2 linked regions of the Lepisosteus oculatus genome follow. The protein of the gene in region 1 interacts with the protein of each later gene in a biochemical or structural test. Links are inferred from orthologs where the notes say so. Each region holds a gene or a part of one and is shown on either strand. Other genes may lie near its edges.

Region 1 (15,647 bases):
TTATTCAGCTGTGAAGAACGAAAAGTAATTTGTTGCTCAGAAATACTAAGAATAATATCAGGATGACAAACTAGAATGTTTACTCCACAAGGTTCCAGAGTCCTAGTGTAAAGTTATGCAACGCAGGGTGTAACAATGTCCATGTCACAGCAGGACAGATCATTTGACCAGTATTCCAATATGGCAGCCTGTCAGTGAAGCTTCTGCTACCGTTTTTACTTTTTAAAATGTAGTTGTTTAAGTGGATTCAGAGATAGAACGGACATAGAAGAAACTGGGTTCTTCGCTAAAAATTCCTCTCTAAATAAGAATAGAGTATGACTCTGCAGAGCTTGCTTACACTGCAGTTCTAACAAAACCACCAATGGATCAGCAAGTGCTACTTCTGAAAGTGGAGAGGACAGTGAAGACCTCTCATATTGTGCCTGTGAACTTCACTGCCCAAACTACAGATATTCAGGAATTTGTTCCTAATTTTAACTGCCGGAGGTGAGCAACAGTCACCAACAGATCCTTATCACACACAACTAAACTGGAAAATCCAGAGTAGCAAGTAATTGAATTGAAGGATATATAAAGACAAAATACCATTCAAATTGGAAAGCTTACCGGAAGGTGAAGGATCCTTAACTTGGCAACCCATTTAAATTCACAGCTCCATCACAACGAGATTTGTGCCTGGAGAGAGCACACAGAATACTGTATATGTAGGTAATCGTTCTAAGTAAGCCCCAGGTCATTTAAGTTTTTTATTCTACAGATGGCTCTTTTTGAAGGAGCTCTTAGATCCCTCGCTCAACAGATGGATCTATTCTGTATATTTATACAAATTAGTCAAGCTAAATTAAAAGGAAGCTGTCCCTTTCCCTCTCCTTGTAGGTTTTCGCAAAACACCAAAATATATAAATCATATGAAGCATGGATATAGCAGATTTTACCCATAAACGCATCTATGAAACCTTTCCCCCAGAATTCCTTCACACCCTTACAACCCTGCAAATATATTTAAGCACACCTATGTAACCCAGTTTGTTCCAGAAATCTGGAAGAAGTTATACAGTATACTTGTTTCCCTGACAGTAATGGTGCTTAAAGTTATTACGCATCTACTGTACATAAACTCAGAATTTCCCAGAGATGACACACAACAATGTAGTGGATGGTCCTTCCCACCAAAACCTCCCCACTTGGTACAGATTTATTTTTAATTTACTTTAATGTTTAATAAAGTGGTCTGTTGAGCATCAGTATAGTACACTTGAATTAGAGGTTGGAAGATTATAATTTTTCACATGGTGCTGCCAAAACATTACACAAGGACAAATTTCAATTCATATATAATGTTCCTTTATTGTAAACCCAGTACATTATAAATGGAAGAGACAGTGAACTGGTCATTAAAAGACTAAAAAAGCACTGGCACTTTATAGCAGTTTTAAATATGCCATGTGTTCGAAAATGTCCTGGTTAAAGAGGGGCAGAGCTCTTATTTTTGCTGATTAAACAAAATCAGTCACTTTGATGTTTTGGGCTACAGTTACTTGTCTCTCTACTGGATGTGGTAAGGGTTTCTTTTTAAAATCAGTGATTTCTTAAGTTTGAAGATGAAGTAAATTCAAATGCATTGGTAATTAAATAAAATCAGCCCAATCTAGTTTTAACACATAACTTCTATTTTGGCTTGTTATTGTTTTGTGTTTCCAGATCAAAAAACAAAACAGCCCTAGGCATCTGTACCAAAGTCATCACAGTCTGCTTAAAGAGATCATCCAAACAGCAACAAATCAGCCTCATCTTGGGGTTTAATACATAATGCATGATTGGTTCATTCAATATTCTGTTTTTCATTGTCATGTAAATACATTGCATTACATTAAACTGTAAACTTCTAAAGAAGCCAATTACCATTTAATAGTAAATAACAACAGTAGATAGCAAGTGTTTAACATTCAACTCTAAGTGTACAATTTAAGAAGTTTGGATTAATTGGGAAACAAGAGATTTTTTTAAGATGTTAATCACAAGCAGGTGACTCTTTCAATGTCAGTTAATAGATAGATAGATACTTTATTGATCCCGTGAGGGAAATTGCAGTGCAACAGCAGCTTAACACACACAACACAGCCACAGTGTAACGAATTATATACTAATAGTACAATACATACAATACAATACAAGAGTTACTCACAGTCCGGACACACAAGAGGAAACTAGAACAGAACAGTACACAGAAAATCGTATCACACGTATGAATATAAATATAGATGTAACCATAGATATAAATATAAATATAAATGTATTGCACAGGTCCCTGGCATATATTGCACAAAAGTGGTTGTAAACGGGAAAAAGAAAAAGAAAAAGAAAGAGAACAGATGTAGCAGTATATGTGTATATGCGTTTAGTCCAGAAACAGGTCACTGTCGCTGTTGCCTCTGCCAAGACGCAAGGTGGATGCGTTGTACAGTCTTATGGCAGACAGCAAGAATGACCTCCTGTAGCGCTCCCTGTCGCACCGTGGATGAATCAGTCTATTGCTGAACGTGCTCTTCATTCCTGCAAGCCTGTCATAGAGGGGATGGGAGAAGTTGTCCATGATGGCCTCCAGTTTGGACATCATTCTCCTCTCAGCCACTACCTCCAAGGGGTCCAGGTCAGACCCAATGACAGAGCTCGCTCTCCTGATGAGCTTGTTCAGCCTTTTGGAATCTACTGCTCTAATCCCAAAGCCCCAGCACACCACTGCGTAGAAAATGGCACTCGCTACCACCGACTGATAAAACATGTGTAGCATCTTACTACACACATTGAAGGACCTGAGCCTCCTCAAGAAGTAAAGTCGGCTCTGTCCGTTCTTATAGATGGCCTCGATGTTCTTAGACCATTCCAGTCTATCGTCGATGTGCACTCCCAGGTACTTGTACGAGTCCACCATCTCCACGCCACTCCCATGGATGTAGACAGGAGTAGGTTTGACCTTTTTCCTCCTGAAATCTACCACCAGTTCCTTTGTCTTTGTAACATTCAGTTCCAAGTGGTTCACCCCACACCACTCCACAAAGCTGCTGACCAGTCCTCTGTACTCCTCCTCCTGCTCACCCTTGATACATCCCACAATTGCAGAGTCATCTGAGAACTTTTGCAGGTGGCATGACTTTGAGTTGTACTTAAAGTCCGAAGTATAGAGGGTGAAGAGGAATGGAGAAAGAACTGTCCCTTGAGGTGCCCCTGTGTTACTCACTACCAGTTCAGACACGCAGTTCTGAAGTCTCACAGACTGTGGTCTGCCCGTCAGGTAGTCAGTGATCCACGAGGTCATGGAGGCATCGACTTGCATCTCCTCCAGCTTCCTCCTTAGAAGTAAGGGCTGGATGGTATTGAAGGCACTGGAGAAGTCGAAAAACATGATCCTTACAGTGTTGCCAGCCCTGTCCAGGTGTGAGTAGGCCCTTTGCAGCATGTAGATGATCGCATCCTCCACACCAACACTGGGCTGGTAGGCAAACTGTAGGGTGTCCAGTGATGAGCTGACCATGGGTCTCAGGTGGGATAAGACCAGCCTCTCCAGTGTCTTCATGATATGAGAAGTCAGTGCAACTGGTCTGTAGTCGTTGAGGACAGAGGGGCGCCCTTTCTTTGGTACCGGGACCAGGCATGATGTCTTCCAGAGCACCGGGACTCTCTCCAAGCGCAGGCTCAGGTTGAACAGTCGCTGGAGCACTCCGCTCAGCTGATCAGCACAGGCCCTCAGAACTCTGGGACAGATGTTATCTGGTCCTGTGGCCGTGCAGCCTCTTCAGCTCCTTCTTCACCTGGTCAGCTGTGATGGTCAGCCTGGCCCGGGGGATGATGCTCATAGTGCTTTCAGTGCCGGAGGTGTTAATGGCGGAGGTGTTGGAGAGTGGCAGCTGTGGGGGATGGGTGGGTGAGCAGCCGTCGGGGGTTGTAGCTGTAGGCGGCCATGTTTGTGGGGGGATGGAGGAGGTGTTGGGCATAATCACACTAATAACTGAATAACAAGCCAAGCAAGATCATTTTTGGGGGGAAAAACAAAGCAGCGAGCACGAAAGCACACCCAGAGTAGCCACACACTCCAAACCATAAAATTACATGCACAAATAAGAGATATGGCTATATAAAGTGAAGAAAAACTTAGCTAAAGATTAAATAGATTACTGCAATATTAAGCTGGTCCACAGCTCAGAAAACAAGGAATGGACCCTATGCAGGTTTCAATATCACAAAAAGCTAAAAACAGTCAAGGAGGGAAATCCAAGGCCAGGGTCAAGAGGCAAGCGAAAGTCCGAACCCAGAAGACAAATTAAGTATCAAGCAAGGGAAACACAATCCAAAAGCCAAGGTCGGGAAACAGGCCAAAATTCAAAAAGTCAGGCAAGGAGTCCAGGAAGAATTTAAGAAAGTCTCAACCAAGAGCTCAGAGTTGAAAACAATATTCAACACAGCCTGTACAAAGTACAGTTTAAATAGGTTTGGGGAGGGGAGGCGTGGTGAGGTAGGGACACTTGGCAAGCAGGGATTGGCTACTGCCATCTGCATGCTCTGCGCCTCTGCTGTACAGATGAAGTAGGCACTAGAGGTTGGGGTGGCCCTCTGGTGGCCAGTTGCTGGAACTGCAACATGCAGTGTTTGCTTTATTTAAAAAAACTGCATACTACTACGACAATCGCCTACAGATTTCTGGTAGAAAAAAAGCAGTGCAAAATTTAGATTCCCATATTGCCTTTATCACAAACTAAATGGAAAGTTTGCTTTTCGAAATTACTGTTTACATACTCTGATTAAGAAAACATTCTAAATGTAATTTTCAAGGTTTGTTGTTTGTCTTGTCAACTTGTCACACTGTTTAGTAAGTTTAGTTTATTTCTCAGCTGAAAGTGAAAGTTTAATATAGCTAGATTAGTCCTTGCGCAAGCATGGAAACAGTATCACGCAAAACCAAATGTAATCTTTTAGGGTTTAAAGTTCTCTGTATATTGTTTTCTCTTAGATGTTTTTAAGTGATAAAATGCCTTTCAAAAACTAAATTCTTACATTCCAAAACACACAGTACCTCATGTTAAGAATATACAATACATACAGTATTTTCTCCATTCATTGGAAGTTTCATTTCACACCTCTCTGCACCCATTCTGACTTCACACCTCTTGATTGGCCTCTCTTTCTGTCCCCTGCTCCCGCCTCTCACTCCTCCTCCCTCCCAACCTTTGTTCTCCCGCTACTTTACCTTTGCCTACTGCCCTGTCTCTCTCACACCTGAAGAAGGCTCCACAGCCGCTCTTTCTTCTTTTTTTCAGTATGGAATAAACCTATTACTTTTTCCTTTGCAGCCTACACATGCTGACGCAGCTACCCACCTGAACTACTAATACATACAGTATTACCACCTAAGGAGTGCATCTTTAGATGATTTTTCCTCCTGATGCATCTTTACATATTGATATGAAATTTACTGTTCTGTAGATATGAAATTACAACCATATGCAGTCACCCGACAAATACCCACACACATTTAGTAGTGTGCATGATCTCAGCACACCTTTAAAAAAGCTATGCATATACTAGAAGAACTTTACATTTTATGACGAGCCTTTCTAAATGTACATAAATGAAACTAGCTATACATCATGATAAATTTGCTAGTCACAATTACACCTGTGAAAAATGTATTAAAGCTGACTACAAAACAGTTACCATCTGTTCGCTAAGCATTGCAGTTGTAGCATACCTGTCAACCAATCTGCAAGAAATTGATTTAAAATCAATTTTTGTATACAAGGTTCACACAGGCAGATTCTTTTAAGGTATTCTAATACATTTCCACATTGTTGTATATATAAAATTAGAATAAGATTTTGTGATCTCTACTATTTAATTATGCATGACATTCCATCTATGTTTTATCTTCACCTATTTATTCCAAAAATATTTAAGAACTTCTAAATCTGTTGCAGTGTTAGTGAGTGCCCACACTGGAGATCTTTTGTCTCAGTGTCTGAAAGTACTTTGTAAAAAATGAACTTGTTTATTGTTTTTTTACACTGAATTGGCTTTGAGTGACTGTCTTTCCTGTCAGCCTGTTTCAGAAGGCCTGAATAAAAGTTAACCGATTGTGTGGGCCAATTATGTTGGATAATCTCTACGCTGGAGAGCTTCTTTAGAGGAAGTTTCCAATTAGGAACCAGATACACTTGGCATCAGTTCCCCAGATGTGCAATAGAATAAAAGTATTTTTGATCTACCTAGCCAAGATTCTGGAACAGCTGCCTTAGTCCGTGATAGCTTGTCACTTATTTACAGATAGTGCCACGTAATTGTGAAATTCATTTTCATGTGGCATTACGAAGTCTAATATCTGCACACACTGTAAGGCTTGAATGAATGTGCACAACCCGAGCTGAAAATTCCCCTTTCAGTTAATTCAAATGTATTTTTGCAACATTACAATATTTGCAGTTACACTGCATCCTTTATATAGAAATACTATGCAGCTTAAAGCTTTAGAAGCATTTTCAGAATTTTGTAATATTTGCAATTGTTTTGTAATTAATCTACAAGTCTATTTAACATTTTTCCACTGCAAGTTATCAAAGCAAATACCTAGGTTTATTGCAGGAAATTTGATGAGATCCTCAATTATTTGTTAATATAACCAAACAAAACCAGAGCTAGAATATCCCTCTCCCATTTGTATATTTTCTTACTGTATGTTCAGGGAAACTACACATAAGACTTAAAAGTTCATAATACAACACCGCACTGGGGATCATTTCAGTACAGTATAAAGTATAAAGATGCTTTCAGGATAATTAGCAGAATTAGGTTGGAAGAAAATAACTGAAGAAATATTATTGAACACATTAATTGATGTTGTATGACATTTTCACATCTGGATTAATAAAGTTTTGCTGCTCCCTTTTTTGCAGCTGACGATGGACAAGGCTATAGTTTCAACAATCAATCACCAAAAACTTTCTGAATGGTCTTCAAGTGAGTAAATGCTTAACTGTAATACAATACTGATTCTGCATTTGTTTCTTTCTGGAGATTTGAAATTTCTGTGATTTTAATTGTTAGATGTTAATTGTCTTTAGATTCTTAAGATATTAAAGTTTTGTGAAGTGGCTATTGAAATATCCACATTACTATTGGAGCTTTTGGAAATCAGCTGCATATAATGCAAGCAAAAAAAACATTTTACACACACTCAGAGTAAAATTCCATCAAATCTGTTTTGTGAGTGAAACCCTTATAGTACAGTACATCCAGGTGGTCAAATCCAGCATCACTGAGTAATAGTGATAAGCCTGTGTTGCAAGAAAAGGCAGTAGGGAGCTCATGCTTTAACTTCTGGGTAGGAGAGAGATTAACCATTAAGTGTTTGAGGGACTGCTAAGTGTGTACTGTAGATCCTAGAGATGAGGAGTTACCCAGAGGTAACAGCACGATGCATTTAATTTACTTCAATAAATTTGAACATTTTGTTTTATTGGCTGAGTCAGAGCTGTATTCATCACTACCTTGAACAGCAGACTTTTGATCTCTGTTTACCCTCCATCGATACAGAAGTGTTGGAAGAGACCGGTTTTGAGTAAGACAAGGAGACGCAAGGCAATGACACTATGACACATGCAATCCTTTCACTGAGCACCAATCTAGAAAATGTTTCCAAAACAGTGCATTCTTTTGGGGTAGATAAGCAATATGTACAAATGTTTCCACTGTTAGATAAGATTTCTACATCTTTTCTGAAGAATTCATTGTTCAATCTTTTGAAATTCTGTTTTATAAAGAAATTGGAAAAATATAAATGACAGATTTGTATTTAGCTGAATAACTAAACTCCATTTTGGAGAAAAATCATCACTGTCTGCTTTATCCAATAATTGCTTATTTTTTTAAAATTATTCATCCAGTTTTGTTGTGTGAGAACAGAGGTTTTATTAAGTCTCTACCACTTCTTACTTTCCTTTTTGTAATCTATTTAAGTTTAATATTATGCTAAAGAAGTTAAGGGAAATATATAGTATTTAGTAGTCACCTTTTCCACATTATATGGATTGAAAACTCAAATTGAACAAATTTCAAAACTTGCTGTTTTTGGAAATTGATTTTTTAAAACTGACTAAAACAACCCATATTGTTAATGTTGCATCCCTAAAAACATAAGCATCTAACAATTTAGCTATTTATTTTTTGCATAATTGTAAACCATGTGAACTACACACGTGATCCATAAAATTACAGTGCAGTTAACTTTCAGGATTCAAAAAATAATCTTCAGAATTTACAACTGGAGCTCTTAGTAAAACAAACTTGAAGAAAATCACATTTAAAGAATAAATGGAGTTTAAAATTAAATCATAATTTAGATGAGTTACTCTATTAGACCCCCTCCCCATACAAAAAAGGCTTCAGCTTCAGCTTTCTTCTCCTTTGTCAACTTGAATTTTTATTGGCTGACAAAGAAGCAGTGGGAGGAGGCAGACCAGACAGTGCAATGTAGACTATTATAAAACAGCTAGATGTAGCTTTAGCTTGCCAAAGGATGGTACGCTTACTGTGTGCTTCATTGACAGTGGAGGATTAGCACATTACAACGACCACTTCAAATGTTACTTTGCTTGCTACCTTTTTTCCCCCCTCTGTGAAACCAGCTGAGGAATTAAACGTGTAGAGAAGGCTGAAGCTGTGAATTAACAAATGTCATGAAAATATGAAGCTGCTTCCAAGAGCTAAAAGTTGGCAAGTGGGAGGTTTTCACCGTGATCCAGTAAGTACACTCGTGTTTTACCCTTTGAAATGCTGCCAAATATATGTTTCTGGATACAGTAAGACTGCTGAGTTGCTCAATGTGCAAGATGCAATTTCTAAGAAAACTCAGTTGTGCACAGGGTATGTAAGGAATGCTATCCTCATCACAGATTTAAGGGAATACATAATGAAAATGTTCTGAGTAACACTGGGCTCACTATCCACAAGATGAACACTACACACCACCACGGACTGATACACAACTATCATTCTAGGAACTTCAGCTCAGGTGCATTTACTGTCAACAATGACTCAAATGAAAAGGACTCCTCTTCAGGATGTTATGAGCAGCTTTTGATCTCCACAGAGGTGTTTTTAACCCTTGGAATTGTAAGCCTTTTGGAGAACATTCTGGTTATTGCAGCAATCATAAAGAACAAGAACCTCCACTCCCCAATGTACTTCTTCATCTGCAGCCTGGCGGTGGCTGACATGCTGGTGAGCGTCTCCAATGCATGGGAAACCATTGTGATGGCCCTTATCACCAGCGGACACTTGACCATCCAGGACAATTTGATCAAAAACATGGACAACGTGTTTGACTCTATGATTTGCAGCTCTCTCCTGGCCTCCATCTGTAGTTTGCTGGCGATTGCGATTGATCGATACATCACAATCTTCTATGCCCTGCGTTACCACAACATCATGACAATGAGGAGAGCCATGATGATCATCACAACAATCTGGGCATTCTGCACCATCTCTGGAATTCTCTTCATCATTTATTCTGAAAGCACTACTGTCATCATTTGCCTTATTACCATGTTTTTTACCATGCTTGCACTCATGGCCTCGCTTTATGTGCACATGTTCATGTTGGCGCGGTTGCACATGAAGAGAATTGCTGCCCTGCCAGGCAATGGCACAATCCACCAGGGTGCAAACATGAAAGGAGCAATTACATTGACCATCTTGCTTGGTGTTTTTGTTGTTTGTTGGGCACCATTCTTTCTCCATCTGATCCTCATGATCGCCTGTCCCCGCAACCCCTATTGTGTCTGTTTCATGTCTCATTTCAACATGTACCTCATCCTGATAATGTGCAACTCGGTGATTGACCCACTCATATATGCATTCCGCAGTCAGGAGATGCGGAAGACATTCAAGGAGATCTTCTGCTGGTATGGCTTGCCTGGGTTTTGCGTTTGTGAACTGCCCAGCAAATACTAAAGACCTAAAAAAGCACAACTAATCATTCCTCAGAAACTCTTGGTAACTCAGTAAATGGTAATGCTAACCCATTAAAAATAATGCACAATTGTAACCATGACTTCATATGAATGACAATACAACTTTTAGAGAAATCCATGGTTTCTTTTAAGAAAAGCTTAAAAAAAGTACAGATTTAAAAATCAAGTACAAAAGTACTGCTTTTTGCTTTTTGCAAACTGCTTTCTGCTGATAATCACTTGTTTTCTCATGAGGTTGTAGAAAATATATTTCCTTTGCTCTTGGCAAACAAAACTCTCAGAAAGAAACAGACAAGCAATGCCTTTTTAATGTACCTGATTTCTTGCATGACGCATTTAAACAGTAGGGTTTGAGCAGCAGACTGGGCAAATAAATACCTAATCATGTTGTAACATTCTACAAATATTTGTTTTTTCTCTGCTGTGGAGAGAACATTTGTAGAGACGGTCATAAAATCTGCTTTTGACTGAATATAAAGTTTATCCATTAAGTCCTAAAATTAAACAGCCTGGTTAACTAAGTACTACAACAGCATATGCCTTTTTAATATATCGTTACATTATTTAATCTATGTGACTGTACATATCCAGTATATGTATGTCATGTCATTTGCCAAACCGCTTTATACCATACAGTGTCATGGGATATATGTACATACATTAAGACATCATTTTAAATGTGCAATATTGAATTTTATGAAAAACAGCTTTAATTGGTGTGTATATTTAGTGTTATTTATAAAGTTTTTAATTGTGCTTCAGTATGTTTTTTCCCTCCAATCATTGTCCTGTTTTAGTGCAGTGCTGTCTGCTGTGAAATCATAATGTGTTTAAGCCCTTCCCCCCAAGATGAAGTAAAAATTGAGAACTATAGAAATAGACAGATACCATAGATTTTATGCATTAATTTGTTTTATTTGGTTTAACATCTTAATATGTTTTTTTCCTGAAAAATATAGTACTTTTTGCCAAAGCCATTTACCAACTCTACATCGAAACAAATGCTGGGTTGTTTCAGATTGCAGTTATTTAAATTATTTTTTGGTAATTCCATATGCACCCATTATTCTGATTATCCACCATTTCATTAACATATTGTACTGATGAATGAATCAGCACTGTACATTGTAATACTTAGACACATTTCTTAGATCAATATAAAATTGCAGAACGTTTGCAGACAAAATGCAGATCAAGGTTTAAATCTATTTCATTATGAAAACTAACATTAAAAATGCAAAACATTTTAAAGTTGGTATCAGGTTTGACCTTTTAACATTAACACTATTCTGATTGAACTGACATTCAGTACATCTGATTATTTTTTTTTAACAGTCTGTTGTGGGGTGTTTAACCACTTTCTATGCAACAGCAGCCATCTGTCCAAAAATGCTCCCCACAAACTCTTGAATGAAATTCCCTAACTAAAAATACTGAAAAGAAAAACATTCTCACATCAAAAGCATATATTTTATGCTGATCATCAGTAAGTACCTTGTGAAAAAGTGCTTAATTCTCTGCTGTGGCTTTGCCATAACTTTAGAATGCACATTTTGTTTTGACAAAATGTTGAATGTCAAGGTTTCCTTTACTCTTGGACAACCTGTCGCCTGTGATGCTTGAATCGGCACACACTGTGAATCAGGACAGAAATATGTTGAGGAATTCAGGGGACATTACATTGAATGGAGACCAAACTGTGAAAGAAGTGCTCTATGTCTCTTATTATGTTTACAAAAGAGCCATACTGTATCAAGTGCAGGGACACATTAAAATGGGGGCGGTATTTTGTTTGAACTGAATGGAAAAAATCAAAGTGTGTCTTACTCTAGGTTATCAACTTATGAGTGTAGCGAATGACTGTCATTAATGTTACAAAGAGTAAAACTGACTAGTCCCTATTCAAATGTGTTCGCAGCTTTTGACTAAAGTAAATAGATCCTTTATGAAAAGTGATATGAAGACTAAAGTGTATTCATGCAAACTAATAAAACTGTCTCAATTTTATGCAGCCTCATTATTTAAACAAGTGTAAACACACACTTTACTATATAAAAAATTCACAGGACCGAAAAACCATAAGTATACATAAAATACAATAAATGATTAGTACTTAATACATTACAACCTATTCTATAAGTGAATTTTACTTTATATTATGTATTGATTGCAATTCTTTCAGAATTGCACATTTAGAAAACATTTGCACTGCAATTCAGTAAGGGTAGTTCTAATCTTTCACAAATAAAGTCAAGGGTAAAAAAAAAAAACTTTAGCCACTCACTTTTACCATTTATTCTTTGCCTGTAGGTTGCAGCTAAGTCTAGACACCCTGTGCAGCATTTGTGAAGTCAGAGAAATTGGCTCCTTAGCATGTTCAAGTACCCAAAATTGGACCAGAGTTAGGCCGTGTCCCAATATGTACATAACTGGTCTTGCACCCTTCATTTGAGCGTTCTCGTTCAAGTCCGCAAGGGATCAGGGTGCCCCATTTCTAGATCTGTTTCCCAGGGGTGCTCAGCAGCGTCCCCAGTGCGTCCTGAAGGGAACTACCCCGAATTCCCTGCAGAATGGCAACAATTCATGTTCTAGCCTAGGAAAGCGTAGAGACGTTTCCATGGAAAATAAAATATTCACGTGTTAGTAAAATTGAACTCTTTACAGTTTTTAGAAGCGTACTATTTTATGAAAAAAATAGAATATTTTATATTTGTTCTGTGTGTATTCTAGGACAACATTTTGACAAAAGCTTTAATTACATCACCCAACTTCGAATGATGAATATTCGTTTACCTCCAGTGTATTTGGTACACTGAGTATTTAACAGTACACATACAGTATTTAAAAGTACAAAGCTTTGAGCTTGCTTTGAATGAACGGGTTCCTCATCATTTTTGTTCCTGTCATTTTTGTATTGGAACAGACGAGATTAAACACATTTAGCAATACAAAGCTTTGAATAAAGAGAGCAATATTTGTAAGGTTTCCTTAGTATACTTCGCCTGTTTTGAGTCGAGCCTTAACAACATGAGCACAACGTGTCACTACTTCTGTGCAGGAATAGATGAGATGACATCACTTGTACCCAACTGCGAGAGAATGAAATTTAAGAAGTGTATCCGCTGCACTCAGCCTTTGGGAATGAAGCATCAACAACAGGCAGCATTTTGACCTTGACCCGATTAACGAGTGATAAGTCACAAAAGGGTGCCTTATTGCTCTTAATAATGGTGCCCCTTCGAACTCTCACTAACTTGAAGTCCACACTGGCACAACGTCATTGAAGTGCGGACTTGGAGGAAGGGTTTAGGACACAGTGCAAAATTGGGACACTGCCTTACTGTACATGAACAGGGATGTTATGAACAAAATCACAACTACTGTAAATTTATGTTGATGTACATCTATATATTCCTTCTTTGTAGCTACTCAGGAGAACTACACATACCAATCTTCAGTACTTTACCAAGCATTAAACAGCTAAATGAAAAAAAAACATCTGAAGTGACCCTGTCCTGCCTCTTTCAGTTGGAACTTTAGTAAACCATATTATCAATTGGGAAAACTGGCTTTGCGATGCGGCTAGTAAGCGCAGGCAATTTGCTAATTTATTGCATTGTTTATTTTCCAACCTTTTTATAAATTGATATACAAATGTTTCATTCTTAATGCAAAGATAGATGTGTATGTTTTTTTTTTATAAAACAATAGTCCTTTTTAAATAAACCTGGACAAAATGGGGTTAGGTTTCAGACCTTCAAATCTCTGAACTGCGCACTTAGAACTAAATAACCTGTCAGGTTTTACTGCTTTCTGAAATTAAAGCTAAACTAAAAAGGTTTCCATGCTTCAGACAACTCACTGTAACAAAACTGAGTGTAAGGTAAACCTGGTTATTGACAAAAACTCTCCTGCTGCAGCAAAATGAGTCTTTCAGCATCCTGCAGCAAAGAAAGACAAGTTTCTGCAAAGTATTTTCTGTGAAAAATTTCAGAAACAATTGGTATTAAAAAATTTCAAGTGTTTACATACCATTTCGCAAAAGGGATGGGAAAACATCTTAAATGTATACCTTTCTCATTAAGCATGGGGTTTCAGATAAAATCATACAGTACTGCACAGCAAAGAAAGAACATATATATATATACACACATTTATATGGGAGAAAGGGTCTCATTCTCATAAGATGTCTGTATGCAGAAAAAGAGCACTGAGTCACAAGTTACAGGTTCTTCTAATAGTATTTTCTTATGTCTTTGGATAGGATACTTGCAAAAATGTATTGCTGTAGAAGAAAATGTATGTAATTTTCTTGTTTTGAGCATTATCAGTAAAAAAACATTTTGAACTATTTATAAATGTGACATTTGGGTGAAAATAATACAATGCCTTGGATGGAGGCCGTCAATAAATATACTAGTTGTGAGAAGTCCAAGTGTATCACTTGATTTTTTAAGAATTTTACTTTGAGCTTATACTATCTACACTTTACCAGCTGGTCCCTGTCTAGCTTGTGGCTGAACTGTCATTTATGTTCCAGATGTGTTAAATCCTTTTCCATATATATATATATTTATTTCTCTGCAGTTGAAACAGCTTGCGTGTACTTTGATCTTTTCAGTAGTTATTTTTCTGAGACATTTATTCCAAACGGTAATGCAACAAGGAAAAATAATGAGAATACAACAGGAAACATTAAAAACATATGTTTCAAAATAAAAATGAATATGACAATTAATCATTTTAACAATGGTCCTATCAGTGGGAATAATTAGTATGTAATATTGGAAATAGCAATAAGTTAAAGTAATCATACTTCCAATATTCACAGTTGCCCATAAGAGAGATTCATTTAAAATATTTTTCACACTGCCCTTTCAAATCAATACACCTCCCGTTAAGAAATAAAATTATCTTTACTATATATAGGGACCAGAAATCCAAGTCCAATTACATTTAACTAATTTTGAATAACACAAGAGTGCACTGTGGAGTTGAAATAATATTGGCAATTTCAACAAACAAAAGTTTCCTTCCAGCCCAGCTGTGTTGCACTTGAATTTAAAAATACTCAGTGTAACCAAGCAAGATTGTAAGATGTTTGTAAGTCAAGAGCTTGGATACCACAGAGTATAATTAAGGACCATTCCATTGCCTGAGCTAATGTCACCCTCTAGATTTCAACATCCCAGGCTCTTGTCTTTTGCACAAGTAATTATGTAGAAGAAGCGTTTATCTGTACACTGCTCGGCCTTTTCAACAGATAGCTTGAAGAGCTGTTCACACTAGACATAGAATGGAATGTCATCTCGAAGCCACAGTACAAAATGAGCTTGCACCTACATTTTTAAGCAAGGTTCCATGGACAGAAGGTTGCCTGTCAATGACAAATATGGTGGTGCAGCGCTGTACTGTTCTACATGGAATTCAAGTCCAGCCAATGTCAAAATTCTCTTTTCAGGAAAGGATATTAGTTTAGCCACTAGTATAACCATTTCTATTTACGTTTGGTGCAAGGAATTTCACTTCCCATTTAAATCAAGCTTATAGCAGTCATCCAAGGATTATGCATTACTTTACTTGGGTGTACTAGACAATAGATATATTTCTCACCAAATATGATTG
Region 2 (15,810 bases), on another chromosome or scaffold:
TGGAGAGATCTTTAATCCTCAACTCTCTGGCATGCTTGTAGATACAGTCAGTCTGTTTCTGAAGATTTCACTTCAGCAGTCAGTTTCACCAAGGTAAATGGTAGGGCACTTTCACCATATGAGCAATCTTCTATCAAATGTGAAAACAGTGTCCTGGCAGCTTGCTGGAAGTATTTTGCTCATTCTTTAACACAAACGTACATCAACAAACTTTAGTTTCATCTTTACAACAGTGATCTTGGAGCTATCAACATATTAGTAGGTTCCAAAATGAGTAACTGAGATGACCTAATGATAGTTGTAATCATTAATTACAATTAATTGTACAGTATTTTGCAGAAATGTTTTATATACATCACAGAATGATGATGGAATATGGATTTACAATCAGTAGGAATAGTATCACTAGGTAATGTACTGTATGTGACATTATTAAGAAATTAATTGATCCCTCTACAGTAAAATCTTTTCTGTCAGCATCTTAAGATAAACAAAACTATACTCCTAACAACCATGTCCAACACCAACAAAGGGAAATCAATGAAATATTCAGTGGAAATCTCTTCTGAATTATTTTGTGCATTTTGAAGATGTGGTTTTTGTTTGGCCATCTTTGTTCTTGTATCTTTTGCAATAATTTAAAAATTTCACTCTTTCCACAGAATTTGCAGAATTCATCCACACAGGGTCATCCACACAGGAGTTAGCCTAGCCGAGTTGATTAATAATAGCCCACACTATACCTAATACCTAATAAACCCAGGCCTTACCATATTTTTGTGGTAAATTATCATTATTCAAATGCAAATATTAATTGTTAATTTTTAAACCTTAATTTACAAATGATTTGTAAATGTTTAATCACATATTCAAATTATATAAATCAGTATATACTGTAGGTATTTATTCTACTGTACATTAATTGTCAGATTATGATTTTTAAAAATGACAGTTGTCCATTAGAAGCAAGACATGTATTTCATAAAGCATACTGTATGTTGAAAACGCTAATTTTATACATAAAATATGAAATTAGGTTTAAGGTAATTATGCTATTTGTGTCAAAGCATCTCATGTACCATTTTAATTATAACCATAATGTCCTATTTACTGTATACCTGCATCTTTCAATACATAAAAACAATACAAATTGCAAAAAAAGTTTCAATTTCTCAATTTTTTAAATCTGTGACTTCAACTAAACTGGAGTTCTTGAAGTTTAGATATTTTTATTTTAGAAGAGAAAAAAAAATGCAGAAAAGTTTCTGTTCTTTTTCTAAATTCCAAATGCTCTCCCTTAACTCCCTTAACTGTCTCAATGCACCAATTTGGCTCAATAATTCCAAAAGAAATGTGCAAACTTCCAAGAATTCCAAAAAACTAAATATTTTGTGCCCATGGTCCTTTTATCTTATTATTTGTCACTGTAAGGTATTTAAAAAAAGGATTTACTACAACAACACTAACAATATTCAGCTAATCCAATTTGGCATATTATTGTAACATGAGTGAAGTCTATATTCTAAAGGCGGTCAAGTAGGTAGCTGTGTCAGTATGCGTGAGCTGCAAAGGAACAAGTAAAGGTTTGTTCCAGGAGTCAACATCTGAAGAAGGCTCATTTCATTTCAGCATGGAATAAACCTTTACTTATTCTAAAGGCACATACTATATATCCTCTGCACACAACATGATAACAAGTGGTTTTTAGAGACCAACATTTTTACAATGTCTGTAAATGTTTAAATAAAATAATACAGTTTGTTTTTACATTGATGTGCTGCTTACCTGATCCACTCATAACTTATTAACTTATTTTCTCTAAGATCTATTTTGTATAGCTGATATTCTGTATTGATAAAGTATACAGGCTTTAACAATGATCTGAGATTATATATTTTAAAATAATCCAATAATGCAAATGTATTTCGTATTATTTATTAGTGTTTTTCCTCCATGCACAAAAAAATACAGTTGTATAATTCCTACAGCCTGAGCAGAGTCTCAGTCTACAAATTTAGTATTTCGAGGAGGGGATTTACCAAGAAGGAAGATGAGACCATTTTCAACAATGTGGATTGTTTAACTGTGGAAAAAGTAAACCCTTGATTAATAAACAAAATTGAGTGCTCTATTAATTAAGTATTTGTAACCATTAACTTTTCTTCTGTAGGAAAGTCACTGCTCGCCCGTGTGTACACACCTGCCAGCACTCATACTTACAGTAAGTTCTTCCCCCAGAAGCCCAGAACCTGCTGCTCACAGACCACCTCATGTTTTTGGTGTTTCAGCTGACTTTTGGTTGGATTTTCTTCCGTGAAAGGTTTTTTTTTAGGCCTAGAGACTTTACATACTGATACGCCTTCCCTAAGGCACATTTGGCATATTATTGAATGGCAACATCTCCAGAACCAGACACCCAGCCTTCACTTGTATGCTGAGGTTCTCTGATTTCTTTCTGCGTGCGGTTGGCTCTTTCTTGTATTTAATAACCCCTGTAAGGAATATAACTTTCTTTCACATACTGTTCTGTTGATACCAGGTTTGTTGTGAGATATGAATTACTCTCAATGGGAGCTATTTGGGATTTGTCTGCTTTTCAGCTCCTGTCCTGTGGAGTTCACTCTTTCTACGTGCCTGTCTTTCACTCAGCAGGAAATACACTTCTTGCAATCCCTGTTGCTTCACTCAACAGACTTTTTTTCCTGTTCCCTCAGCACAACTCAATGCTGCTGATTTTGTACAATGAATCTGGCTCTCCTACACCTCTGTCAGTGCTGGTCCAAGGCATGGCTGCTCTTTCTTTTCAGGTAGTGCTTCCCTCCTTCAGCTTGTCTTCTCTTTTAGTATTTCCTAGACCATATTAAGACTTAAAGCAGCCTGACTTTCTTTCTTTTGAGTGGTTATGTACCTGTAGTCAGTTCCAAATAAGTCTTCTCCAATTAGCTTGAAACTTTCAAACATTTTCAAACTTTCAAGAAATGCCATTGTTACTACATGAGCCTCCTGACTGAATTACCTATGTTGACAAATTCCTCTATACAGAGTTTTATTAAGCCTGGGAAACTGTATATCCTGGCCCACTTTCTCTAAGCCTCCTGTAGCACAGATATTTTGTCATGTAGGGTCTAGAACCAAATATCCAATCTTCCGTGACACGCTGGGCTTCTCCAGTTTGTCTCTGTCTGGGGTTGGATTTCTCTTATAATTAAAAACCCCAGTCCAAAGTAATAGATTTATCATCTCCTCTTGGGGAAGAGAGCTCTTTCTGTAACCCCTGATCTATTTGGAAGTTTGTGGGGTGGAAAAGAATCCACCTCTCAATCTCTCCTGCCTTCCCGACTTCTCAGTCAGGTTTGTGCTCTTTTATCGGCTACTCATCTCCATGCCTGTTCCTTAAATTCCATTCTGTGCTCTTAGCATACTCTGCATGAAGGTTTGGTAACTTCTTCCTCTCTGTCAGTGCTGCCTTCTCTGTTAGCACTTACAAGACTGTGTCTGAAAAAACTAGGAGCCTTCCCTTGTCAAAGGCTCCAGGTAAACACCTTTCCATTATCGTGAGATCTCCAACTAATGTACATTCTTGCATGAAATCCCAAGTTGCTACCTGAGCCTCCTGCTTCCAGGATGGTATTGTCACCACCGGTCTTTCTGACAGGCCACCCTACCTCCTAATGTCCTAATGGTATTTTTATTCATGCCTTACATTCATAACACTAAAATGGAATGTACTCTACTAAGAAAACACAAAGGTGATTGACTGATAAATACCAATTGCTTTGTTCCATTCTTTGATTATTATAATATCAAAAACACAATTATTGTAACCCGCAACACATTCCAGAAATGACTTTACTTTCTACCAAAAACATATGCTTACTTCCTCAGCCATAGTCCAAAGTTTCCATTAATTTGTCTATGAATTTCTCACCACCATTGCACTTCCCCAACAAACCAGTAATCAGAGGTTTGTCAGACACTTCAGAAAACAGGTACTGTCATATTGTTTATATGCAATTATAAGAAACAAATGAGACCCCAAAAAACATGATTAACTGCATCTTTAAACATGTATTGTTCTAGTTATAACTGTGTTTAAAAAAATTGTCCAGCATGCCAAAATCCTACTAGCCATGGCTAGAGGTATCCATTCATCACAGAAATTGGACACGGTGAGTAAGACATTTCTTAAAATGCTGAATGAAGGTTGCCAGTGCCCATGGAACAGTAAGGTTATAGAAATAACCCGGACAGAAGTTTGTGACAGAAAACAGCTGGACATTTTTAATAAAAGAGAAAGTTGTAAACTAAGTTCCAAAACCATGATGCGGTTATTTTTTCATTTGGACCAGACAGGAATGGCAGATAAAAGATTTTGTTAAAGATCAATAAAATAAATCATAGAGAACAGAGTGCAAAATGAACCTTCGGACAAGTAGGTTTGGGCTCACATATTACGTTAATTTGTTATCTCCCAACAAGCATTGTTCCAGCTCAAAAAAAACACCACACGGTTTTAACGCCACTTGTCACCCCAGGAGAGACTGGCCAGGGAATTGAGTTGTTCTAATGACTAATGCTACAAGACGTCAGTCATTTTTTAAACCAAATAATCAATTTTCAGAGAGAAAAAAAACCTGCTCTGCCCTTTACAGGCTTTATACATCAGTGCATCATTTCAATTATCCCATGTAACTTAAAACCATGTTTAATTAAAGTGTGCATCTAGCACCTCTGCCATGAAACCAGCAACAAAAGAGTACCTTAGTGATGAAGTTGCTAGATTGAAAATGCATAGATTTCACTATTAAACCTAGTAAATTCACACATATGCTATTTAATTAGTATGTGAAACTAATATCAAGGATATCTATCCTTGAGAAGTAGAACTCACTTGACAATCCTTTTCTCTATTAGCAGTGACGTTAAATGTGTTCCGGAAATATAGAGGCTTTTTTCGGCCACAGATTTCACATTTGTGAACTTTACATTAGCACCTCCCCTCTTAAGAGAGACACAAAAGGAACCCTCCTCGTAAACTATTGCCCATGAAAGGTTGCTGTGCAAGGGTTGAGTATAAAAGGAACTGCTTAGGAGATCAGACTTAGAGACAGAGCAAGAAGCAGTCAGAAGAACACAAAACCTGCTTTGAAGATAACAAGAATACCTGCAGAGAAGGACTGAAGACCTGTTGAGTGCTGACAGACTGAAGCGAAACACTGAGAGGCAGGTAAGCAATGCTGTATTCTTCAATTATATTCATTTTTTTATTTCTATCAAATGGCTTGTCAATTTTGTAATACTAAAATTTAACAAACAATACAATGTTATTTTTGATCAATAGGATATTTAGGTCTGATTTAGGGTGATTTATTAAACTAATTTGTAGTTTTCTGGTAGATTTACAGATTTCAGATTGGAAAAGTATGGATCACATTTTCACTTTTACAAGCACTTCACTTTTGACATTATTTCAAATCGAAATATCTGTAGAATAATAACACATTTTTCTACAGATTGTCACACCAGGACACCTTTCAATTTTGTTGGATTTAACAACATTTTTACCCTCAGATCCCATGCAATTTCTACTTGTGCATGCTTAATATTGGGGTAATTATTAACTAGAACTCCAAAGATTATTAGCATTTTTATCCTCTGTGATTAATTCATTACTGTGTGATTTTTATATATAAATCAGAGACAAAACACTTTTATCACATTGGCTTTGCGGGCCAAAAAGTTAAAAAAAAAAGCTACAGCATGTAACAATTTACAAATAATAAAACATTAAATGTGTTTCTTTTTTGTTTGATGAACGGCACATTTGTTGGGTTGCTTAGTTGCTTCAGAATTCAGAATTAAATTCATAATAGTCACTTCATCAACTAGGAAATTAGATGAAATTACAGAAATGGTACACACATGATTTTACAGTATATAGAAATATTAGCTGCTGAAAATTAATTAATCAGTATTTGTCATAATTCAGCCAACTGATTCATAGTTTTGATAGCAGATTTTTTTTTTTAATGATCCACCTTCTATACACTTCAGGTGGAATAGTTTAACTGTATTTTAAGCAAGACTAGTTGTGTTTTGTAACATATATATTTTTACATTAAATGGTATTTCCAAAACAAATACCTCAAAGTCTGTCTTCCTCTATGAGAAAAACTCTCACCATGTATTTTACATTGCAAGCCTCTCCTTTGCGAAAAATGACATCATTAAAGGGCCTGAGACTCTCTTAAATTATAAAACCAAGCTACCTTACTTAATTTGTGATATTTGTACTTTTATTTTTGCCTTTCAGTACTCCAATCAGGTACAGTATGCACAATGTCCCCTGTGCTGCACAGCAATTTGTGATTCAAGGCAGGCTAAGTTCTCAATTTGTTAAACAAGCACAACAAAGTGGCAAACAAAAGAAAGTCCCATGATTGTGGAATAATAACTGACTGGCTGAGAAGCTATTTCCTAAACCTAAAAAAATCAATTCTGTGTTTGAAACCAAAATAAATGATTACATACTTTTTTTAGAGCCTGACATCTTTTTTAAAGGTTAAACATCTGGGAAAATCAATCATCTGTCAGATTTAGGCAATACCTGAAGAAACATCAGATTTCTACTGTAATGTACATGAGCTTTCAAGATTATTAGAGCAACGTGACTCACCTTAAATACAGTATAGGTATATATTTTAAGAAATTACAACAGTTTCAACAGAGAGTACAAGATATTGTATGTGTGTTCACTACAAAACTAAGCAGGCAAGGAGAACATATAAAACCTAAGCAGTAATATTTTAGAGTGGTTAGATGCAGTTTGCAGGTAGCTGGTGCTTTCAATCAGTGATACAGCATTTAAATGGTAATGCATAACTCAGCAAAGGCAAATATCAGCTTGTATATCATAGTTATCTATTTACTCTGAGCAACAGCAACTGTTCCTGCTCAGACACAAGGATAGCTGCTCTTAAAAAGTGTTCTTTAAAGAACATTAAATAAGCAACAGTGGTAAATTTGTCAGGATTTTATTAACCTATAGTTTTAATTTATAAGGTATAGTGGAAAATGAACAGTGTGAAATTTTATTAGACATTATTTACAAATTGTATCATGGAGAACTGTGCAAACCCTATGGCAATTGTGGGTAAATATTCAAAATTGTATACAAGATGAAAACATATAAACAGTACTGTATGTCACCCAGACTATGCAAATATACAAAATACCATTGTAGTTTTAACTATAGTTGTATAAACAGTTGTTTTAACTGAACTAATACAGGTAAGTGACCTATACAACTTTAAGGCACACATAATTATCTGTCTGGCAAATTCCTCTGTAGAAATAAGCCACAGTTTTGATGTCTAATAGTTTTAAAATATTTTTAATTTACACATACATTATTTTTTACATCTTTTTTTCAGTTTATTAGTTTGCATAGGGTGGAACAGTGCACAGTAATGAGCATTACTGCCTCGTAATTTTTTGGGCTGGGTTCAATCCCGGAGTTTGTATGTTTACCCCATTGTTCACGTGGGTTTTCCTTGGATGCTCAGTTTTCCTCCCACAGTCCAAAAACAGACTGGTAGATTATTTGGCTTCAGGGAAAATTGGAGGTAGGTGTGAGTGTCTGTGTGTCTGTCCTGTGATGGACTGGCACCCCCAGGAAAAGAGATGGAAAAAGGTTAAAAAAATTGATAGTTTGTGTAGGTATGGGTAAGAGGAAGTGCTTTACGTGAGAAATATGAATCACTTGTGAGACAGTGCTTGAGATCAGGGTCCCTATGTTAGCAGCTCTGCTGCCATAAGGACTCCTTATTTCTAAAACAGCATAAATAGTGTTTCAGAAGGGGAAACAGAAATACAGCAAAGCAAACAAATAAATGGGGAGGCACAGGAAGCTATTATTTTAAGAGTGATCCATACATATCCCAAAAGAATTTAAGAAATACTGTATGTATGTGATTTTTCCAGGCCATTCCTTCAGTTTGAAGATGCTGCGTTCAGTCTGGGTGTACTCTCTGGCCTTGCTGTACTTCTACAGCAGTCAGGTCGAGAGCCAGTGTTGGGAACACTCTCAATGCAGAGACCTCAGCTCGGAGGAAAACATCTTGGTGAGCAGAACTTTCTTTTAATGTAAATGCAACACTCGGTACCATGTAGACTCACAAAAGTGTTGATAATAGGTATTTCATAAATGTGTTGTAATTAAGAATTGTGAATTGTGAGTCCAGCATACCTGGTTGTGACAACATATTGGTGCCCATTGAAGACAACTTGTGTTAGACTCTACTGATACTTTTTTGTTCTAATTTAAAATATAGTATAATGACTTGAAATTTGTAATATTTACTGCTGCCTCTGTGACAATGTTAAAAGGCATTTCAGTTTGCTAAGAGCTGCTGTTAAAAAAAAATACCATCACAGCGAACTAAAACAAAAATAAACATCATGCCTTAAATTATTTTATAAATAATAAATACTGTTGCATTACATTAATCAATTTTAAAATACAAAAACAGCCTCTCTGCCATCCATTATTAATAATTATTACAGTAAATGCTCCGCTTTAACAGACTCCGAATTTAACAGACAAAATCTAGTTTAGGGTTTTTTTTTCCAAACAAGGTTATCTGTGGTGTTGAATTACGATCTACAGCCAATACACTGGCTGAACACATGAAACTGAATTTCAAATGCAGTGAATGAGGGCTTTGACGATTTGTCAACTTCCCTCTAGATTGAATAAAAGAACCCACAGATATGCTTTGACCGCTCCACTTAAAGGATAGAACCGTTCCATCCGAAATTCAATAAATTAATCCAAGACGAAGGGATCGTATTCTCCCAGCTATGCAATGCCGACGAGACTGGTCTCTTCTGGCGTTCACTCCTGGACGATGCCCAGGCACACAAGCATGCGACGTCTACACAGAACGCATAGTCAGCAAGGAAAGGATCTCAACATTACTGTGTGCAAATGCTGGCAGCTTACACAGGTTGATATCCATAGCTGTCGGCATGTAAAGGAGGCCGAGGATATACTGAATGAGCTTCTGGTAGTCTACCACCATTCCAAAACAAATTGGATTACTTCAGACTTAATTTTTTTTCACATCTACGACTGTGTTTTGTATGCTTGAAATATTTCATTGATAACTTAATCTATATCCGGCAATACCAGACACCCCTTTCCCCCTATTAGTCTGATAAAAAGTGGGTCTATTGTATGGCCTTAATTTGACATACGGAATATGGGCAGGTTCTGTATCTGAGAATTTACAAAAATCTTTACAATGATGTTCTTGCTTTCCAGGAGTGTATACAAGCCTGCAAATCGGACCTCACCGCAGAATCTCCCATTTTTCCTGGGAATGGGCACCTCCAGCCTCCTTCAGAGGCTGACCGCAACTACGCGAAGAGTCACTTCCGCTCGACTGCCTTGGGGCGGCGCACCAACGGCTCTGTGGGAAGCAGCAAGCAAGCCGGAGAGAACGCGGCTCTGAGCATCCTCTTTGCCGCCCTGGCTCCACCCCAGGCCGAGGAAGAGATGGAGGAGAGTGAGAGCTCGCAGCAGCAGAGGCGCGAGGACAAGCGCTCCTATTCCATGGAGCACTTCCGCTGGGGGAAGCCGGTGGGCCGCAAGCGCCGGCCTGTGAAGGTGTACCCCAACGGGGTGGAAGAGGAATCGGCCGAGGCCTATCCCACAGAGATGCGGCGCGACCTCATGAGCGACCTTGACTACCCCCTCCTCGAAGAAGTGGAGGAGGAGCTCGGAGGAGAGAACGAGGTCCTCAACCTGCAGGAGAAGAAAGATGGCTCCTACAAAATGCACCACTTCCGCTGGAGCGGCCCGCCCAAGGACAAGCGGTACGGGGGCTTCATGAAGTCCTGGGACGAGCGCAGCCAGAAGCCACTCCTGACGCTCTTTAAGAACGTCATCATTAAGGACGGCCATCAGAAAAAAGGCCAGTAAGGAGTGTGGAGAAGCAATAAAATAGCCCCAAACCTCGCTTTACTTCCTCCTTGATCTTGGCAAAGCAAAATTTTAGGTAGTTGGCATTCTGGTAAAGAAAGAGGCTCAGTCCTGAAAGGTAGCTCCGTTGTATGTTTGTTTTCTCTGCTGCCAAAGCCCTTGTTTACAATGTAGTCGCCCATAAATTCTGAAAACTGTAAATAGAAAATAAATGCTTTTGCGAGTTAGAGCTGGGAAAAGGGAGGGGAGGGAGAGAAATTCAACTTTAAATTAATAGTGGAAAGTTATTTTTCATATTTATTGAGATGTACTATAATGTAAATTAAACAAAATACTTTTTGCAAGCTAAAAAGAGTTCTCCTTTTCTTTCTTTGGTGTTTACGGTCTGTGAAAGTACTTAGCCATAGGTTTCTTCAAAAATGTACTGAATAATTAGAAAAGCTATACTTCCCATACTTTAAAAACTATCAACAATAAACTAATAGAGATAACCAGAGAAGGAAATGAGAAAGAGAACGATGGCACAACATATTCTCAGCTCTAAAGAATTAATCATCACCATGATTCATGGAATTTGTTTTACACTATTTAATGAAGCAGCATAGACTAAGGTCATGCTGACTCAAAAAGAACAAGGTTTTAGGAAAGATGTGATGAACAGCTAACCTAAAGAAATAAACCTGCTGACAGAGATGGACAGATAGTCAGTGAAGGCAAACTACAAGATTCAGTCAACGTTTCTATATCAGTTCCTGTATCTTCTAGTAATATGACAACCTTTCTCCCAGTGCAAAAAAAAAGTTTTAGTTTCCTAAACACAAATAATTTTTCAAAAGTATATACATGTATGCCTGTAAAATGTAATATACTGATACTAAATATGTACAGTTAACAATTATTCCAGAAGCTAGGCTCAAACTAAACAGCTATGGGTCAAAAACTAAACAACCCTCCTACAGTACCTAAATTAGTTTAGGCACACAAAATTGACAAAACACAGTAAAATGGTCTCTATATACAATAATGGTTCTTCACATGATTTCAAAATAAAAAACATATCTCTATGAGGTAAAAATACATCACACTTCTATAAGGTACAAAAACTCAGGGAGTTTGTAACAGAGCATTTATGTGATACTTAAAAGATCTGACAAAACGTTTTGTAGTCACATGAAACAGAAGTGGCACGTTTTGGTTTAAATGCAAGGTGTTATGTCTGGTGCAAATGCACCACAGCACATCACCCAGTCAATAGCACTCTTACGCCAAGCAGGGTGGTGAAAATATGATGTTATAGGACTGAATCTCATTAGCAGAGACTGGGAAGATTGTCAAGATTGAGTGGAAAATTGAAGGATCAAAGTAAAAGCAAATATTAAAATAAATTCTGGTTCAGGCTGCAGAATAAAGATCCAAAGCACAACTGCAAACTGCAAAAATACATTGGACTGGTTTTAAGCATGAAAAAGTAAATGTCCTTGAGTGGGGCCATTGGATTCAGTCACAATTCTGACTTGAGTCCAATAGGAAATTATGTTAAGACTTGAAAATTGCTGCCCATCAATGACTCTCAACCAATTCAAGATGTGAAAAAATAATCAAAATTAAAAATATTCTCTTCAGACAAATGTGTACAGGTATATACAATTATAATTCAACAAAATAAGAAATCATTGAAAGGGAGTGAATCCTTTTGCAAGGCACTTTAGCTACAACTAATAACACAATATGTAATTTAAATACGTTATTGGGAAAAATTCAGTAAAATCTTTTGGTGGGTTGTAGTAGTATACTGTACAGAGGAAAACGTGAGAGAAAAAAATGACACCAAAGGTTTGTACTTCTTTTATTTGTTTTGTGTGCAAGGTAATCAAACATGCTATCTTCAGGTATGAAAAGCTACAGTATTGTCCCCCCACCCAAAGTAAACTCATCGCAATTAAGGGGATAACTAGGGTCCGCTAGTCATCTTTGGGTCAGCCTTGGTCAACAATTAGGCTTAATTTAGGCCAGCCCTGTCCAATATAAATCTGTCTAACTTTGGCTTTTGCCATCAGAATGAAATCTGCTCTGGATCGGAGAATTCTACAGCAGAATGTCAATTGTCAATCTGTCCGTGAACTGAAGCAGAAGCGCCGCTGGCTCATGCAGCAAGTTCGAAACACACAAGCAAGCCTACATTTGAATGGTTGAAGAACAAGAAACTTAAGAGTTTTGGAACAGCAAGATCTAAACCTCTTTGAGATGTCGAAGCAGGACCTAAAAAGAGCAGTTCATTCTTGAAAACCCACAAATGTCACCGAGCTGAACTTCTGCATGGAGGAGTGGGACAAAATTGTGTCCCAATGGGTTGCAAAATTTTAAAACAAAATTAAGTATGAAAGATTAATAATGTTGTGTTATTGTCACGCCCTCTGCAGCCAGAGGGTGCTCCTTCTCTGTCCTGTCCCTAGTTTCCGCTCTGCTGTCCTTCCTGTCCCTCTCTTTCCCTTGGGCTATATATTTCCGGGTCTTGCACTCTGTCCTCGCTCAGCATTGACGTTCGGATGTCCTGAGACCCGCCTAGCACCAGGGCGCCCCACATCCGCTCCCTGAGGGCATAGGTTTCTATACGGCATTCCTGAACTCTTTGCACTATGAGCCCGGGCCTTTTTCCCGTCTCGCCGCTACGCATATGGGTCTTTTTCCGCTCTCCTGCTCCCCACAGTTAGTCCCTTTGGACGTCCGTGACAGTTATTTGTTCACTCAGGGTCCCTTTTATCTAATATAAGGTTTTGTTTGAAGATCTATTATCATTCACTGTGGAAAATATGCAGTAAAACAGAAAATCAGACAAGGAGCAAATACTTTTTCATGGCACTATATACAGTACAGTAGTGTCAACACATGAAAATTACACACTGAACTGAGCTGTAACTGAGAACTTGCTATAGGAAATAAATACTGTATGTGTCTGACCAAAAACCAGTCTCCACAAAAAAAACCATTTTAATTCATGGATCATTTTTATTCTTTACAGCATGTGTATTTAACAGGTTCACATTTTCTAAAGACGTTTCTTACAGTTATGGTCCATCTGGCACAGGAGATCAAACAGCAATCACACGTAAGAAGTAGAAAGTGTGTTGGCTGATGTTCAGCCTGTAAACTGCAGCGCAGCCGAACAATGGTTTAGGTACAGGCAAGTTGACAGAGCACAGGAAAGGTCTATAACACAATCACCTGCTTTCCACAATTATTTTTTTCATTATAATAAGGAAGAGGGGATCACATGAGATACGAGAACACCAAAGGGCAGGGCATTTACACTTAATTGTTTAAAAAATATTTGTCGTTTAATTATACCTTTTCGTTCCCAAGAATTCAGAATTTGTATTCAGTTGGGATCTATGCAACAACCTCCCCATTCATTAACCCATGAATCCACTAGCCTCGATTAAGACTACACATAGTGTCCTCTTTTTCCACTACAATCCCACAGCACAGCCTGTCGGTATGTGGCCGGTGGGATACAAACATACTGTATGGAGGTTTCCAACTACAGGATTGTTTTTAGAAAAAAGATTCAAACTTAAAATTCCATTAAGCATTGAAGACATATATAACACACATTAAAGTGGATGGTTAAAAATCATTAACGTGTCCCATCTTCATATAACACCAATACAATACACATCATGTTCATTCACAATGAACAGAAATTCCATCGATCAGCGGGAGACAGTAATTATCTGCAAAACATACCTGTTGTCGCACACTGGGCATTTGCTTATTTCTTATCAAAAGGCAACACTCCACCACCATTAATAGACAAACACAGTACAAGTGTCTCACAAAGAACAGTAACCACCAAGGAACTGAACAAGCAATACACAGAGACACAGCATTGCCATGAAACACTGAACACAAGAGGGGTCAATAATTCCACATTGGAGAGCTGCAGCACAAGACAACAACTTACTCAATAATATCTACTTGGAATGACGTAATGACAAAAGAAGGAAACATAAAAACATAGTGTATCTTTGTAATAAAAATATGTTATGTTTTTTTTAAATATATAGAATGACAGTTAGTTTTGCATCTCTTACATTTATTGCAACAAAGCCAATAAATATGACCTCAGAAAAATAATACGAAGTAAAACCAAAATCCAGTTCTGTTACTATATATTTTCATCACGGTAGCATTACCTAAATGTATCAAGATCATACTGTTATCTTACTGTCTATGTTGGTTATACTCCTCTAAATACAGAACTAACAACATCTCTATGCCCAAGCAAATTACATAGTCAAAAGAAGCACTGAACTGCAATGGATGTTTTTCAGTGAAGAATGGCAAAATCTTATTGTGTATCATCTCTCAACTATAAAAAACATATAAACAGAAATGTATCAAAAAAGTGTTTCTCTTCATCTGTTGACACAATGATGCCACTGAGGAATTCTACATTAACTTTAGCACTGAAGAGTTATACAGTATGTGATTGGTAAGTGTGTGACTATTGTACCTTGACCTTGAAGTCAATGTTGTTTCCCTGGAACTGTATTTCTGTTATTTTCAGATATATTTCAAACACATTACACCTTGTTCCTAGGACACATTTCCTATAGTGTTTTCTCACTTCTTCTTCAACTTTAGATTTTTATTTTTAAATTTAAACTGAGACAACACGTTTAAGAAATGTAAGAACAGGTAAGAAATGAGAAGAGACTTTTCGGCTCATTTAAATCATTTGGTATTTAGAAGCTAAATAATCCCAGGACCTTATCCAGCTATTTCTTGAAAGAGGCCAGGGTATCGGCCTCAGCTACAAGGCTTTGTTCCTTGTTTGATACTTGTACAACACTTAAAAATAAAGAAGTGCCTTGTGTTGTTTGATTTAAATGATTTCTATGTACTTTACACTGGTGCCTTCTGGTTTGTGTTCAGGGTATAACCCTAACCCAGAGTTGATGGCAATATATTTGAATTCTGACCTTTAAATGAGAAGTGCAAAACAAAGAGTTGTGAGAATTAAAGCCTTAAATCCTGGATAAACCAGGATCTCAGCTTAGCTGCTTAGTAGTACATCAGTGTTACTGTAAGACTGTAAATATTCATGCTTAAAAATGAGACCAACAGTAACAGTAAAAGCAGTACTGTATATTCAGCTTGTTTGGTTCAGTAAATGTACTTCCCTGCCACAGACAAGCACATACATAACTAACATCTCTACACGATTAGAAGGAGCAATGTAGTGCACCTTCCAGAACTACAAATGTATTTTATTTTTACTTACAATATTAAAATGTACAAGTTGAGCATTAAGTTTAATCTCAACTGCAGGTGCAACTTTAACAACTAAAGAAGCAGATAAGCAAGACATACTGATTTTGAGGAAACAAATCACATCCTTTCAGTTCTCTGATGTACAGATACGTAGATGCTACTTTTAGTTACAGAAACCAAGTATAAAAAATAATCAAATAATCACATCTGTAATAGCTGTCACAACAGAATAGCAGTACATTCTTATATACTGTACATTATAAACTCCAAAAATGAAAAACTCCAAAAAGGGACTACTGTATATTACAGGACAATAAGCAAACAAAACATCATACTACAAACATTGTACTGCAGTCAGTGAACAGCACTTTCAGAAATTGTCATTAATATAAGTATACATATCTTAATAATGTACAGTCTTAAATTTAACAAAATACATTTTTAACAACAACAGTGGTAAGATAGCAGAAAGAAATATGTCTTTTTGAAACAATAGTTTACCTAAACCTGACATATAGGTTTCCTCAATCTAGTCAAATGAAGCTGTAATC

Evidence for each region.
Region 2: the proteins of mc4r (region 1) and pomca form a complex in vitro, tested with the Homo sapiens proteins (2 studies listed by BioGRID). The link is inferred for Lepisosteus oculatus from reciprocal best matches to the Homo sapiens genes MC4R and POMC.

Annotation. Positions count from the first base shown.
Region 1 is NC_090701.1:6,389,347-6,404,993, forward strand, and holds mc4r (melanocortin receptor 4), read left to right. Parts: upstream 1-8,784; 5' UTR 8,785-9,000; coding exon 9,001-10,002; 3' UTR 10,003-12,046; downstream 12,047-15,647.
Region 2 is NC_090697.1:22,200,626-22,216,435, forward strand, and holds pomca (proopiomelanocortin a), read left to right. Parts: upstream 1-7,961; 5' UTR 7,962-7,964; coding exon 7,965-8,123; intron 8,124-9,325; coding exon 9,326-9,985; 3' UTR 9,986-10,337; downstream 10,338-15,810.